Tamandua tetradactyla: one gene and its partner. The protein of the gene in region 1 binds, or shares a complex with, the protein of each later gene. Links are inferred from orthologs where the notes say so. Each region holds a gene or a part of one and is shown in the gene's direction. Other genes may lie near its edges. The genes, in order: RNH1 and RNASE1.

Evidence for each region.
Region 2: the proteins of RNH1 (region 1) and RNASE1 are in contact, whole or in part, in a crystal structure (PDB 3TSR), measured with the Mus musculus proteins. The link is inferred for Tamandua tetradactyla from reciprocal best matches to the Homo sapiens genes RNH1 and RNASE1. Residues at the interface, in NP_001165571.1 of Mus musculus: Cys7, Asp32, Thr60, Asn89, Asp117, Glu145, Tyr146, Asn174, Glu202, Trp257, Trp259, Glu283, Ser285, Trp314, Lys316, Glu340, Glu397, Ser401, Asn402, Gln426, Val428, Tyr430, Asp431, Ile432, Tyr433, Trp434, Thr435, Asn436, Glu437, Arg443; in NP_035401.2 of Mus musculus: Arg26, Glu27, Lys32, Gln36, Pro48, Thr49, Gln53, Lys56, Arg57, Met60, Asn62, Gly63, Ser64, Cys65, Lys66, Pro67, Val68, Asn92, Lys94, Asn96, Leu111, Lys112, Gly113, Asn114, Ser115, Lys116, Asp121, Ala134, Glu136, Val143.

What each region holds. Positions count from the first base shown.
Region 1 is NC_135335.1:362,214-369,937, reverse strand, and holds the start of RNH1 (ribonuclease inhibitor), read left to right. Parts: upstream 1-4,608; 5' UTR 4,609-4,757; intron 4,758-6,410; exon of another isoform or gene 6,411-6,521; intron 6,522-6,872; exon of another isoform or gene 6,873-6,937; intron 6,938-7,449; exon of another isoform or gene 7,450-7,724. UniProt on the Homo sapiens protein: Ribonuclease inhibitor which inhibits RNASE1, RNASE2 and angiogenin (ANG). May play a role in redox homeostasis. Required to inhibit the cytotoxic tRNA ribonuclease activity of ANG in the cytoplasm in absence of stress.
Region 2 is NC_135340.1:35,797,629-35,805,851, forward strand, and holds the start of RNASE1 (ribonuclease pancreatic), read left to right. Parts: upstream 1-5,160; 5' UTR 5,161-5,182; intron 5,183-6,259; exon of another isoform or gene 6,260-6,384; intron 6,385-6,420; exon of another isoform or gene 6,421-6,729; intron 6,730-7,464; exon of another isoform or gene 7,465-7,586; intron 7,587-8,223. UniProt on the Homo sapiens protein: Endonuclease that catalyzes the cleavage of RNA on the 3' side of pyrimidine nucleotides. Acts on single-stranded and double-stranded RNA.

The sequences.
Region 1 (7,724 bases):
TTTGTTTGGCTTCTTTGATTTCATATTTACGTCTTTTATAAGGGGGGTGGGAAATATTCCCCAAGTGTCTCCTCAAGCAATCTTCCCAGCCCTTTACTGTTTCTCCTTCTGGGACACCTTTGATTCTTATGTTTGTGAGCTTTGTGTTGTTAAGTCATTTCCCTGAGATCCAACTCCAGTTTTTCCATCTTTTTGTCATTTTTTCTTTTGTGCATTCAAATTCTGTTGCTGTGTCCTGTAGTTCTCTCATTCTTTCTTCTGCCTCTTCAAATCCGCTTTGTCTCGTGTAATTTAAATTTGATCTACCATACCTTTCAGTTCTGTGTGATCTGCTGTTAATTTATTCTTTCCAATTCTGCTTTATGTTCTTCTAGTGTCTTCCTGATATCCTTTATCTCTTTAGCCAAGTCACTGAAGTTATTTAGGAGATTTGTTTGAACATCTTTGATTATGAATTCCAAATTCTTTGTCTCTTCTGGCTTTAAGAAATGTTCTTTTTAATTTTTAAAAAAATATTTTTATTGAGAAATTTCCATGCACATACAACCCAACTATATTATACAATCAGTGGTTCACAATATCATATAGGTATGTGTTCCTCACCATGACCATTTTTAGAACATTTGCATCACTCCAGAAAAATAAAACGAGAAAAGAAAAGGCTCATACATACCATACCTCTTACCCCTCCCTCTCATGGACCAACAGTATTTCAATCTACCCAATTTTTACCCTTTATCTCCCCCTATCATTTATTTTACTCATCTGCCCACACCCTGGATAAAAGGAGCTCAGACACAAGGTTTTCACAATCACACAGTCACATTGTGAAACCTGTATCATTATACAATCATCTCCAGGAATCAAGGCTACACACAGCTCAGCAGTTTCAGGCACTTCCCTCCAGCCCCTGCAATACACCCTAAACTAAAAAGGGGTATCTATGTAATGCGTAACAATAACCTCCAGGATAACCTCTCCACTCTGTCCTCTGGCTTTTTAATCTGATCATTTGGCTTGACCACAGCTTCTTGTTTTTCTCATGTGCCTTGTAATTTTTTTGCTGTTTTCTTGGCATCTGATTATCTTGATAAGGCTAATTTGAAAGTGATTTCCCTCACTCACGTCAGGTTTTTGTAGTTGCTGGGTGTGAAGGTTTGTGGCACTTGGTTTCTCAGTAGTTCCCACGGTGCAGGGGCAGTGCTGTTCAAGGGGGCCGAGGGGGGGGGCGGAGGGATGGGTGGGCTGGTCTGCTGCTCCCCCTCTCCTGTGGGGGCTCCCTTCTCTCCCACGTCTGCGTGTGCTGGCACCTGCCAGCCCCGGCTGCGAGTGGGCCCTGTGTCCTGCAAGGTCCAAAGGTGAGGTTGCGGCCTCCTGCTGGGGAGCGTCCAAGCGCCCAGCCCTGAAGGGCTCAACTTCACCAGCCCTTAGGCGGGGTACACTTCTCCCTCAGCAAGACCCAGGCTGGGGGCGTGGGTGTGAGGCTGGGGGACGGGGTGGGGACGTGGGGTGGAGACCTGGGGGTGGGGGGCGCCTGGTGCAGACAGGATCGGGGCTGCCGGCCCAGGCCGCCCCTCGTCCACCCCAGCGGGGCTTGCGAGGACATCGTGCGTCTGCCTGCCCGCTCCTGCGTGGAAGGACTCCCGGCTGGGGGGGTCCCGGGCCGCAGCCATGGCCTCCGGGCGCAGTCGAGTCCCCGCTTGCATTTCTCCGCCTTTCCGAGCAGCTGTTTCCTACCGCCCGCGCCCCCCGGCAGTGTCGCCGTGGATGGGTGCACCGTCCACGCTGCTCCCTCTGCGTGGGGCGCCCTTTTATTACCATCTCGCTCTAGCAGTTTCTGTAACTGCTTTCGCCCCTAAGCCGGCTTTGTGATGTCAGTGGAGCCCCCCAGCTCCTCCCGCTTCTGCCTGCACGGAGTCTCCTTTCCGTCCTTCCACCGTGAGCCCGCGGGCTCTTCGGGCCTGAGGCCTGTGCGGGACGCACACGGGTGGTGCTTTCCATCCAGGCGGCCACTCTGCCTTCTGACTCGGGTCTTCAGTCCATTAACACTCGGTGGTTTTACTGGGAAGGCAGCACTTGCTTTAGCCATCCTGTCCTTTGTTTTTTGTACATCTTTTATCTTTTTTGTCTCTTTTCCTTTACTGCAGCCTCTTTTTCTGTACAGTTGATCTTTGGGGATGTTTCTCACAGATTCCGTTCCTATTTCTGTAATAGTTTCTTTGTGGCTAGCCTGGGGCTTGTCATCACACGGCCTACATCTACAACCCACTAATTTGAAAAGATACCAGCTTAACTTCTGAGCACACCCGTTCTCTGCTCCTGTATCCGTCCCTTTTTCTCCTAATATTGTTTTTGTCCCCAAATACCTCTTTATATTTTTCATGTCCATTATCAGGAAATATGACTGTTTTAAAGTTCAGTTATATTCTGACCCTTATAGGAAGTAGAGTAGCGTCGTACATTGAGGACACGGTACTACCGGGTTTTGCATTTACTCTTTTAGTTACCTTCACTAGTAATGACTTATTGTTTTCATGCTGCTCTAAGCATCTCCTGTCTTTTCCTTTCAACCTGCAGAACTCCCTTTAGTAGTTCTTGTAGGGCAGGTCTCTTGTGGTGGGGAACATGCTCAGCTTCTGTTTTATCTGTGAACTTTAAAAACTATTTTTAGTTCAAAAGATTTCTTTTTGAAGGACAGAAAAATAAAGAATTTTCGGCTGCACTTTTTCTCTTTCAGCCCCCATATATCCCACTGCTTCTTGCTTCCATGGTTCTGAAGGGAAAGTGGAATTTCGTCTGGAGGGTCCTTCTACGTGGCACATCGCGTTTCTCTCGCTGCTCTCAGGGTCGCGTGTCTGCGGCGCTGACCCCTCCGCGTGGCTCCGCTAGCCTTTGCAGTGCGCGGCTTCCTGGACATGGAAATTTAGCTCTTTCATAAGCGTTGGGAAATTTGGGGCCATTTTTTCTTCACGTATTCTTTTTGCCCCCTTCCGGGACGCATGACAGCGTTTGTACGCGTCGTGCTGTCGCTGAAGCCCCTGAGACCTGCTTCCGTCTGTCCTCCCGTCCCGCTCAACGCCGCTGGGCCCAGGGCTTTGGCTTATTAGGGAGGGAGGGGGAGGGGGAAGTAGGGGGGCACCCGCCGAGGCCCCCCATCGAGGCCCCCCATCGAGGCCCCCCCCCCCCCCGTCGAGGCCCCCCGTCGAGGCCCCGGCTGCACGCCTGTCACAGGCCTGGGGTCTGGAGCGCGCACACGGCCGCGCAGCCCTGGCTCCAGGACGTCCGGATACGGCCGCCCCCCACTCACCACCGAGCACGCTCCCCCTCAAGTCCCCGCGAGCCCTGCATCGTACCTGTGTTTTCCACACCAGAAGTGGCACGCTGACGTGACCACTGCGTGTGAAACGCGGCTGTCCACGCACAGGACGTGCACTTTTCTGTGAGCTTTTCCAGCTCATAAAAAGGGAGTTTTAAAGAGAATCGCATTTACAAAAGTGGAGCAGGGACAGACGCCCCCCTTCCTAGCCGCCCCAGTGTTGGCCTCGCGCGTGAGCCCACGAGTGGGGTCGAGGCAGGCACTGAGGGACCGGCAGGACACACCCTGAGCTCTCCCCACTCCGGGAGGTGGGGGCGGGGGGTGAAGGCGAGAGGAACGGAAGTGGATGGGCCGGGGGTCGGGGGGCCGCTGAGAGCTCTGGACCCTATCCTGGGCGGACCAGACCGGTTCAAAGGGACAAGTGCAGACCCCGCGCTCCCTGTACCCCACGCGCGTCCCTGCCCGCCCCGCTTCCTCGGTCGGCCCTCACGCTCCACGGGACAAGGCTCGTGCAAGCAGCATAGACGCCATCGGCGCCGACCGTTTCAGTGCCCGCGGCGTGACGGAGGACGCACGTGACAGCAGGACCTGGGCGCTTCCCGCAGCCCCGCGGCGGGCAGGGGCCCCCGCCACTAGAGGGAGGGGCGGCCCGCTCCGCGTCCTCGCCCCCGCCCACGTCCCTCACGCGCCCCGCCGCGCCTCAAGGGCGCACCGGGGCCACCGCCGCTTCCGCGGAAACATCCCGCGGCCGGGCGCAGTTACCGGCAGCCCCGCCCGCCTCGCCCTCCCCGGACACTGTTGTCGGCCGGTCAGTCCGTCAGTCAGTGAGTCCGTCAGTCCGCGAGTCCGTAGACGCGGAGAGAGGGGGCTCGGACCGTGTCAGCCTAAGGCTCGATCGGCGCGGGTCCCCTCCCCACCCCAGCAGGTCCCTCCCCTCCCCAGCAGACCCCTCCTCTCCCCAGCAGACCCCTCCCCTCCCCAGCAGACCCCTCCTCTCCCCAGCAGACCCCACCTCTCCCCAGCAGACCCCTCCCCTCCCCAGCAGGCCCCACCTCTCCCCAGCAAATCTCTCCCCTCCCCAGCAGACCCCTCCCCTCCCCAGCAGGCCCCTCCCCTCCCCAGCAGGTCCCTCCCCTCCCCAGCAGACCCCTCCCCTCCCCAGCAGACCCCACCTCTCCCCAGCAGACCCCCCCCTCCCCAGCAGACCCCACCTCTCCCCAGCAGACCCCTCCCCTCCCCAGCAGACCCCACCTCTCCCCAGCAGACCCCACCTCTCCCCAGCAGGCCCCGCCCCCCCGCAGGCCCCGCCCCTCCCCAGCTGGCCGCGCCGGCTCCCTGCCCTTTGCCGGCGCCGCCAGCCACGCCACGATTCGAAGAGGAGCCGCCGTCCTGCGGTCCGTCCCAGGCCAGTGGCAGTCTGTCGCCCGTCGGTCGCCCCTAGGTCAGTTACGCTCCGAGCCTACGGGTCGCTTATGCGGCCGGCGGGTCCTGGCTGCCCTTTCCGGCACCGGCCTCAGTCGGGTCCCTGCGCATGCGTGCCCTCGCGCTGCTGCGGCCTCACTGCCCCGCGGGCGTCCTCCCGCCCCGAGGAGCCCCCCGCGCGTCGCCCCCGCCCTCCGGGGAGGCCCGCTGGGAGCGCCGGCCGGGGTGGTGGGTCTGCGCCCCCAGACCCGCGCCGGCGGCCCCGAGCCCCCTGCTCCTTTGGCGGCCCGTAAGGCGCGTAGGCAACACCTGGCCTGGCCAAAGGCTCCCGCAGACTGACCCCTGGGCCTGGTAGCCCCGGGCGGAGGGCCCCTCCTGGCCTGGCTTCTGGACACCCTCCCCGCCTCACCCCCTCTGCCTCCCACACCCCCTCCCCTGGTCGGGATCTCTCAGTGGCGCCCTGGATAGTGCAGGGAAAGCTGCCCTCCCCGCGCCCCGTCGGAGTCCGGCAGTCTGGGGGCCCCGACCCAAACCCTGATGGTGTCAGCATCTCGGACGCGCAGGGCTGAGGGTAGGGGGCTCGAGGGACGGCCGAGACCACGCGATACGGATGATCTAATTGCAGGCATGTGCCGGCCGCTGCGGTCCAGGTGCCGCGCTGCAGGCGGCCCGCTCGGCTCCCACGGAGCTTCCTCTGTCCACAGAACTTCAAACGTGGGGTGGGGCAGTCCTGGGCTGACCTGACCCTTCATGAATCACCATCAGGGCCGTCTTTAGTGATCAGACTCCAAAGTTGAAAACCAGGATACGGGTACAAGTGAGGCTCAGCCACAGGGTTTTTACATCACAGGGACACAGGTGGAAGCAGCCGGGCCCAGGCCAGAGCTGTCAGGCGTCTCCTCCCGCGGGCCAGGGAGCAAGGAGGCTGTCTCCCTGGTGCAGCCACCGTAACCGTCCCCTACACCCTAATTTCTCCCCTTAGGGTTTGTGAGGAACCCTCAGGAAAGCGCCCCACACCTGTGGGCGAGCCTGGCAGAAACATGCTGTATCAATTGCTTGGGGCCTCCATGCAGAGGCCCACGTGCCAGGTGACTTAAAGCAATAGGGATTTATTCCTGTACAGTTCTGGGCCAGAATTCCAAAATGGAGGTGTGGGCTGGCCGTGCTTCCTGGGGGACCCAGGAGCCCCTGGGTTTGTGGCCACATCGCCCCAGTGGGGGCTCCATGGTCACGTGCCCTCTCACCTGCGCTCCCACTTCCCCGTCTAGTCCGATTGGACTTAGGGCCCACCTTGTCCCTCATCTCAGATAATTACATCTACAAAGCCCCCTAAGCGGTACCGGGGTTCGCACGCGACTGTGGCCTTTGGGTGACACATTTGAACCCACAGCACAGGCTTTGGCTTTGGTGGGCGCCTCACGGAGGGTGAGCCCGTCCACGTGTGTGGGCGCGGTCCTGTCCACTGGAGGTGGGTGACCTATCCATGCGGGGGAACGAAAGAACTCAAGAGTACTTTCAGAGTTGCTAAAATGTCTCACTGTGCATTGTTTTAAAACTTAAAACTGTCCTTGAAGGTCTTTCCGTGTTAATTATAGGTTTTTCCGCGGATAGCGTCTGGGTGGGCGCCGTCCAGCCCTCTTTCTCCGGCTGGGCATCTAGATTGTTCACGGGTTTACTCGCCTTCCGGCGCGCCGCGGGTTCCCGCAGGCGCCTGTGCCGCGCACCTGGGCGCGCTCCGTGAGGCCTGTGCAAGCTGGAGGGACCCGCAGCGTCGCTCGGTCAGGTCGGGCAGTGAGACGGGCGTCAGAGCTCCCAGCTTCATCCCCGTGCGCGCGGCCGGCGGCGCGGGTGGGGCAAGCGGAGGGGGCTTCCCGCGATGGGGGCCGCGCTGAGAGCGGGGGGCGAGGGCGCGCGCCTGGGACCCGGAAGTGCGAGACCCCGCCCCGCCCTGTGACGCGCGGCGGCCCCGCCCCCGCCCCATGACGCGCGGCGGCCCCGCCCCCGCCCCGTGACGCGAAACTGCCCAGGCCCCGCCCCCTCCCCCGCCCCGTGACGCGAAACTGCCCAGGCCCCGCCCCATGACGCGCGGCGGCCCCGCCCCCACCCCGTGACTCGAAACTGCCCAGGCCCCGCCCCGTGACGCGCGGCGGCCCGGACCCCGCCTTTCCCCACGGCCTCCCGGGGCGGCGACGGCGCGCGGTGAGCGTCGGGAGCGGCGTCTGCGGGCGGGCGGAGGACCCCAGGCCTGGGGCGGGCGGGGGTCGCGGCGGGCCCGGCTGCGCGTCCCCGAAGCCGCCTGGTTCCCGCCAGGCGCAGGGAGCCTCACGGGGGCGGGGGCGGGGGCAGGCGGCCTGCGGGCCTGAGGGTCATGAGCCGGGCCCGGCCCATCGCGCTCCGCCTCGGCTTCGCTTGGCCTCGCTCGGGTAGCCGCACCCACCACCTGGGGTCCGAGCGGCCGTGCCTCCGGCCTCAGAGCCAGCGGCCTGCGCCAGGCCCCGCGCGTGACCCGTGACCCGCCTGGCCGGCGATGGCTGCGACCACGTGCTGTTTCCCGGGGACGCTGAGGGGACGGGTTGCCGAACCCCCAAATCCTGGGCGCAGGCAGCCCTGTTTTATCGTGGGGGGCGCCGCTCTCCCCGGCCCCTCCGGCGGGGCACGGCCTGGCGGGAGCCGGGCGATGCGCAGCCTGGGGACACGGGGCAGCAGGCGGGCCCAGACAGGGCACCCGAGTCCGTAGTAGCTTGGCTGGGTGGGGTCCGGCCTCGCCCCTGCTTCGAGCAGTCGGCTCTGACCCCCGCGGCTCCTTCTGGGGGCCTCCGGCAGCCCTGGATAACGAGGCCTTGGGCACAAACGGGAGTGATGGGGTGTCCGCAGTCGGGTAACCCCAGCTGGGTGGGGCGGAAGGGCTGTGCTGCAGAGTGAATGATGCCCGGGGAGGCGGGGCCGGTCCCGAGGGGAGCAAAGCCAGAGGCGTGGAAGGGGAGAC
Region 2 (8,223 bases), on another chromosome or scaffold:
AGATGGGAAACACTGGTGTCTGCTCTAGACTTGAATGATGGGGAGACAGGGAAGGTTCTTCTAGAATGGATGAAACTGATACTGATCAAACATGGGGTTCTCTACCCAAGCACAGAAAGGTGAATCTATGACACCAAAGTTTCAAAAGTGAGAATATTGTTATGCTATTTAGTTTATCGCTAAATAAATTTTAAGCCTCTCAGCTTAAAATATGTCTCCCCAGTCTAAGAAGCTTAGGGTTTTTAAGGATTCAAACAAGTGGAGGCAGAGTTGTTACCATTTCAATCATAATTATGAATAACTATAGTACCGTGTAAAGGGGTGGAACTAAGCTAGGACTAAATCAAAATAACCATTACAATAGCAAGTACATTTCCAAAATTAGGGCTACAAAATCAAGAGACCACCAAATCCAGGCTAAAGGGAATGAAGTCTTCTTTAATCAGGAGCCACAGACTCCCAAGTCTCTATCTTTCTGCAGACACCTTGGGTAAATACTTGGGCAATATCTGACCTCCATTTAAGAAGATCCAGGGCTAGGACTTAGGGTGGGAAAGGACATATTGAGAATGCCTATTCTCTGTCCTTGGGGTTGAGAAAAGCTGGGATGGTGCCAGGAGAGATGAATGGAGGTGCCAAGGGAAGCAGGGGCTGGAGACTGGGGCCGTCTCTGTGTTCTGAAGGCCAGACTATTGACTACACCTGGCGGTCTCACCAGGCACGTTGGGGCCATGCTCTGGGAAAGTGCAATCTGGGCCTCAGTGACCTCACACAAGACTCAGATGTCAGGAACACTTTTTCTCCCAGTTTTTGCTGTTGAGTGCATGGCGGTGGAGGTCATGGACAGAGGGAAAATCTTACAAAGCAGTAATATTCTAAAGGAATGATAAACTGCACTGCCCAGAAAGCTTTTTGCTTTTTTTTTCGCCTTTTTATAATTGATCTATCATGTGAGGTGAAATGTTGCTTCCTGGGTAGGAGGCTGAAATGGGACAGTTTTGAATAAAAAGGTACAGCTTTGATATCAGACAAAAGCGGTGGGTTCTCTGCTTGATGCACATAACAGCCAATCCATAACACCGGGGTTTCAAAGAGAGCAAGAGTTTAATGCTATGTGCAAAGGAGGAGAGAAAATGGCCTATTGGTTCAAAAATCTGTCTCCCTGAGTCTAAGGAGCTTAGGGTTTTTATGGGTTCAAACAAGGGGGGTTGGAGTTGTGACCATTACAATAGTAAGTATACACAAGGCTGAAACTAGGCTTTAGAAACCATTACAATAGTAAGTATAAACAGGGATAGGACTAGACTAGAATAACATTATGATAAGAAACTATAAACAAAGGTTAGACTAATTGATTTTCAGTAATTTCAGGTATTAACTTCTGCTTATTCTGCAATATAGAACATAAAATATCTATATAATGATTTCATAATCATAATCATTTGCTAATTCTTAATTTCTCAGGACAATTCCTCCCTTATATTTTTGTCCATTCCTCAATCTTGAGAGATATCTGGGCAAAGCAGTCCTAACTTCTTCATGCTGAAAAGGAATATCATCTTTATGGGGTAGAGGAATGAAACTGGTTGTTGTTCTTGAAGAGACTGGTACCTCTGGGTTTCAGAGCTTAACTGGCATAGGAACAATCTGGAGACTTTAAGTCTCTGAAAAATAAACTTACTAAGTAAATTGAGTAAATAACCTTTTGTAGATTTCAGATAGAACCCTGTTGCTTGGAGAATGACATACTGTGGCATTTTGTAGTATCTGGCTACACCGACAGAAGAGCAACATCCAAAATGACTTCTTGACTCTATTTGAAATCTCATAGCTACTGAAATTTTGTTTTATTTCATTTCCCACTTTTGGTCAACCAATCCCATGATGCCAGGGCTGGGCTCATCCCTGGGAGTCATGTCCCACATTGCTAGGGGGTCTTATACCCTGGGAAGTCATGTCCCATGTAGTGGGGAAGGTAATGAGTTTATTTGCAGAGTTTGGCTTAGAGAGAAAGAGAGAGAGAGACCACATCTGAGAAACAAAAGTGTTTCTCTGAGGGTGACTCTTAGGATTCTTAGTCTTAGTTACAAGTAGGCTTAGCTTTGCCATTACAAAAATAAGTTTCATTAGGGCAAACCTCAATATCTGGGGCTTGGCTTATTAAATTGGGAGCTCTTTTTGCTTAAAAGAATAGCAGGAATTCCTTAGGTAGGGAAATTTAATACTTTCTTCCCCCAGTTCCTCAAGGGATCTTGGAAATACTTCTTCATTTTATGCCCCCAAAATCCTGAAATGCATCAGGGTATTACATCAATTGTACAGAATACTAAGATCTCATTCCCTAGTCTAAGTTCTCTGGCACATAAATCTGAATTAAGTTGTTTAAATGAACTTGCCAGAAAGGTTAAATTAGATGGTGCACCACAGAAAATTTAAGTTTTGAACAAAATTAATATCTCTTCCTTTGGTCTCACACAGAATTTAAGGTCTTAAATATATAGACAAAATCATCTTTTACCCTGCATTATGATTTACCTTAGTCCTAACCAGATCAGCTTCATTCATATCTTTAATTGAAGTCTGATCTTTTTTCAGTTTCTTCAACAGTTACTGTATGAAGTAATGCTAACTTTCAGAGCTGGAGAACTCAGATACCCAATGTTTCTGGGAACTACCAGGTTATATATAAGGAGAAAGCATCTCAGAATATAGAAATAACAGTTAAAACTCAGGAATGTGAGTGCTGTAAGAACTTACTATCTAGGTCCTAATTTTCTTATAAGCATTTTCTAAATAAAGCTATTTTCAGAAATAAAAATATTTGACAGTTGATTTATATTGCAGTCATCAACCACAAACCATAGCAGAAGTTTTTTCCTGTATTACCTTTACACATTTACCAGGGTTATGTTAATTAACAGGTAAAACATAATTTGCATTTGCCTTGCTTCTCTTTTAAAGTGCTTTTTTAAGAGACAATGTCTTTAGAAATCTTATGCAATCTCTAGATATGTAACTAGCATCTTGCTGATACAAATTTAGCTAACAAAAAAATAGAAAATCCCTTTTACTTATTGAAATACCTCCTAAATACTTCCTATGTGATATCACCTCACTTTTAGGTGAAAAAAAAAGCAAAAAACAAAAGCAAATCCTTTGCAACAGTTTGAAATAAAACGCATCCTGTAAGATTTGACTTTGAGAGGGCAAAATGTCAAAACTCATCAGGGTGAACACTATGCTAAACAGGAAACTGGATTACTGTGAAACAATATTTGGTTCCTTATTCAACCAGACTGAAAATAAAAAGTCTCCTAAAACAATGATATGGTCAACATAAGTGTCAACATGGACATTATTCTGACATGACATAAAATCTTTGTCTTCTAGACAGAATACTCAGATGATTAAGAAAAACTTTATAACTTTTCATAACCCTTCTACAACTTTCCATTTCCATTCAGGTTTTGTCTTAACACATGAAAACCAGCCTTTTACAAACCTGCACTCCCTTAGACAAGCTTATCAAATTTAATCAGTGTTGACTACAACAAACAAAATTCACTTCCACAAACTTCCACAACTTTCCATATACATCCAGGCTTCGTCCTACACATTCTCAAGGACAAAACTGCACCCCTTTCTTTAACTAAACACATCCTGTATACTTTACAAGCTTACACTCCTTAAGTTGCCAGAAAGATCTTTGATGCTGTCTTTAAATATCTTACAAAACATAGTCATTTTTAAAATGGTTTGTCAAACTAATAATTTCATTTCACCAAATACAAACTTGCATTTTTTACCATCTTAAAGATCTAATAGATATAATGCTCCTTTTTCTATTAGAGATAAAAATAATAATAACCTCTTTACTTTCATAATATTCTAAAACTATGAGCAACCTTGAACGCATGAGATGCTGAAAAATATAAAACAGTTGTTTAATTTGTCCCAAGCATAAATCCAGGAAACTTTTTCTTAGTTTCAAGGACATTTTCTCTTCTTTACTGAAATTTGGTAGCTAGATCTTATTCAATGATCCCTATTCCAAGGTGATTTATATTTTAATAAAAAATTATTTACTGCTGTAAGCCATTGCGAAGTTACTATTAGAAAAAATTATTTTAAATTGGGGAATTCTCTCAGAGCATGGCCTATTCCGCATTTCCTCTCCAGCCTGGTAGAAAGAAATCTAAACCAAGTCCGTCCTCCCCTCCTCTTTCTGCCCCAACAAGGGTTAGGCTGGTTAGGCTCTGGGGTCAGGGTTAGGTGAGAAAGAAAGAATGAGACCTGGTTTCCAAAGTTTTAAATGAAGGTGATGGGATTTAAGACCCCTAAAATAGCCTTAGTGTTGATGAGAGTTCCTTTGCCCTTCTTTTAATTGCTTCCAATTATTGTATGTACTTCATCTAAAGCCATGACCCAGATTTTTGGAAAAGTTTTTGCCTTTTCCAGAAGCTACCCTATGCTGTTTTAGGGAAATTCTAGGGGCGGTTTCTTCCATAATGTCTAATCTAATTCTAGTGATTAGAGGTCCTAAGGCCTTGAACCCTGGTACCTAGAGGGTTTTTCTATTTTCTTTTCTTCCCTTTTTCTTCTTTTTCCTTTCTGGGACTCCAGGAATACAAATTTATACACACACACACACACACACACACACACACACACACACGCACGCTTATTTATTCTTAAGCAATTCAAATAGAGCTCTCAAGAAATTTTGTTTGGCAATTTGGTATTACCATCTGGAGGTAGGAAAATATACATTGCATAAATAGAAAATTAAGACAGAAAAAAACAGAAACATAGAAATATAAACCTATAATTTGAACTCTATTTTTTCATCCATTTCTGGTATGCTTGCATTTTATAAGTCTTCCTGGGCTTCCCTGTTGTTGTATTCCCATAGGCACTTGCTGGAAGGGTAGAAGTTTTGCCAGTGGCTCTGCTCCTGGTTTTAAAGAGGAACTCTGGCCAAACTGAGTACAGGTATGAAAGGGGGGACCGTTTCTATCTCAGGATCTTTTTCCTTTGTTAAGGAGGGACACAGAGGAGGAGGAGGAGGAAGTAGGGGAGCTTCCTTCTTTCTCGATCTATTGGTCCTTTGGATGCAGGGTGCAGGTGAAGCAGCTGAAGGAGGTTAATAAAGGTGCTACAGGATACTCCGAATTTGAATCAGGTAGGACATTTTTCTTTTTTCTCCATTAATCTTTACAGGTAAAATTTTATATTTTCTCATCAACACTGATGGCTGGGAGAGACAAATAAAGGATTGGACATATATCATCTTATCCCATATCTGCTCTTTTTCAGCACGACCCTAACTTTAATACAGTATTCTTTTCTGTAGAATCATTCTCAGGCCACTTCTCTACTGATTCTAAATCATAGAGGCCAGACTGTGTTACAGAAATAAACTAATCCTTATTTTTTCATAGGTGCATAACTAAAATTTTTCCAAATTTCCAAAACAGCCCAAAGGGCTACATTTAGGAATGCTATTAGAATTAAAATTTCCCATTCTAAAGAATTCCATAAACAGTAATCAACCGGGAACACTTGAACAATCAAATGCAATAACAAACCAACTAAAAATTCAAAAGATGCAATGTTACATATGTATTTAAGTAACACACCAATTAATAAGTAAGCCAACACTCCAATTAACAATTAAACAGGACTTAAACTCATTATATCTTATTATATCTAAGTAACACACCAATTAACAGTTAAACAAGTTTAAACACTTACTAAATTTCAATAAGTACCAATTAATTTATTGGATTACTTCTTTCCCAGGAGTGTACGCAACATAAAAACTTAGGTCAGAGCTATGAACTCCATACAGAATGACAGCGAAAACAGAAAAGGAGCTCAGAGCAAAGGGGAATCATTCTAGAAGTGGGACCCAGAATCTTAAAATCCAGGTCCAGGGTACTTAAACCTCTGTGCTAACTTTTTGATCCACTTTTACCTTGGTAACCCACTTACCCAGTCAGTGAATACCAGTTTGTGCTGAATTACTTATTTTCCAGGAGTATACTCAACAGACAGACTCAGGCCTTGAGCCTATACAGACGAACACAGTTCAGGGCCTTGAAGCCAATACTGAATGGTTCCCAGAAAACAGAAGAGTGTAGAGGTCAGAGCAGGGGGTCGTAGTGGGAACAGGGCCTTAGATCTCAAGCCCAGGCCCGGGGAACATGAACCACCATTCTAACTTCCCAATCCACTTCTGCCTTGATGACCCACTCACCCAGTCAGATGTCTGGACTTGAAATTGGAACTGTTTCTCTCTTTGAAGCTTTTTAAGGCATTGAGGGTCTGGAGTGCCAGAAGAATAGAGAAAAACCTGGTTATCGAGCCTCCAGACTACAAGGTGTCTAGAGGCCACAAGCAGCTTGATTACTTATTTACCTGTCCTGCCAGGGTTCCAGAACTTCAGGTGGTGAACTCCTTCTTAGGAATCTTTGCCCTTCTTGGGTGGCCAAATTGATACCAGGCAAAAGCTGTGGGTTCTGTGCTTGATACATGTAACAGTCAATCCATGACACCAGGGTTTCAAAGAGAAAGAATTTAATGCTATGCATGAAACAGGAGAGAAGATGGCCTATTGGCTCAAAAATCTGTCTTTGTAAGTCTAAGGAGTTCAGGGTTTTTATAAAACATGGGGGGTTGGAGTTGTGACCATTACAGTAGTAAGTATGCATAAGCCTGAGACTAGGCTATAGTTGTCATTAAAATAGGGAGTATAAACAGGCTAGAATAATCACTACAATAGTACCTATAAATAGAGCTGAGAGCAGGCTATAATAAGCATTACAATAGAAAGTATAACCATTACAATAGTAGGTATAGAAGGTTGACACCAGCTAGAACAACCAATACAATAGAAAGTATAAACAGGGGTTATTAGAGTAGTTGATTTTCAGTAATTTCAGATATCAACTTCTGCCTTTTCTATAATATAGAAAGAAAAATAACTATATGATGGTACAGTAATCATAATCATTTAATTCTTAATTTCTTGGTTGCAGCTTTTGACAGGCTTTACTGGCTACACTGTTTCCTAAGAGATAGTGCCATAAGATCGTAAAACCTCCCACATTACTGCAATCTAAATTGACCTTTGACTCCCTGGAGTTACCTACAAATAGTCCAGGACCTCTACCCTGAAAAAGGAATCAGCGCCCTTTGTTAACCTCTAAAGGCTATTTGGGGAAAATAATTCCCACAGTGTTAATGAGGGTTTTGCTATGGTGCCTGAGCTATGAGCCCTGGTAGCCAGTGGCTGTCTCTGCTCTTCCTTGTGAACCAGCAAACATTTAAGTTTCACTTGGCTCCCTCACAGGCAAACACTCATTCTTTCCCCAGCAACCCTGGGAAGGGGGTGGACTGGTGACTGCTGCCCACCACCCACCCCCAGCCCTTCCTCAGTCCTTGTTTCTCTCTGACTTCAAGATGCTCCTCCTACTTTTCTCTTCTTGGAAGCCAAGCCCCTTTGCAATCTTATAAGTGTCCACACACCGGGACTGAGTGACTTCAGAAACTGTCCTTCTTTCTGCTCTCTTCTGGAGACCCAGGTAAAGTGCCCAGGAGCTTGTCTCAGGAGCTACTTTTGCTTGAGGGTTGGAGTGAAGGAAACCAGGGTGGATATGACTAGGATAGAGAAAGTTTGGGCCAGGCAAACATCACCCAGGGATGGAAAATTTGGGAGTATCCAGTCTGCAGAGAATCTGTGGAGCTGGAGAAGGGGGAGTCCCCAAGTCAGGGTTGGGAGGGTGGGTGCATAGGAGCATCTCTCTTTGGATTACAGTGAAATCCCTTTATGATGCCAATGTCAGGCACTGAGCTGAACTTCCCTTGTGCTGTAGGACAACAAGGCAATGTCAGCCATGATCCTGGATGTCATGCTGGTACCTCCTGGATACATTTTGGCTCATGGTTTAATTACAAATTATCTTCTAATGAGCAGTTAAGAACTGGTGCAACCATTCGTTTTTCAAATGTATTTTAGGTTAAAGAAACTCAAGTATCTAACGACAGGACTGCTAGGATTTCAGGTCACTCCCTAATTTTTGTTTGTTCTGTAAAGTAGTATCAGGTTTAGGCAACTCACCTAGAGGGATGGGAGGACTTTCTAGCAAGTGGGAGTAAAATGCTCTTGGAGAGAGTCGTGTGTGAGTGTCTCATTATTTGGTTAATTTTTCAGGAAGAGGG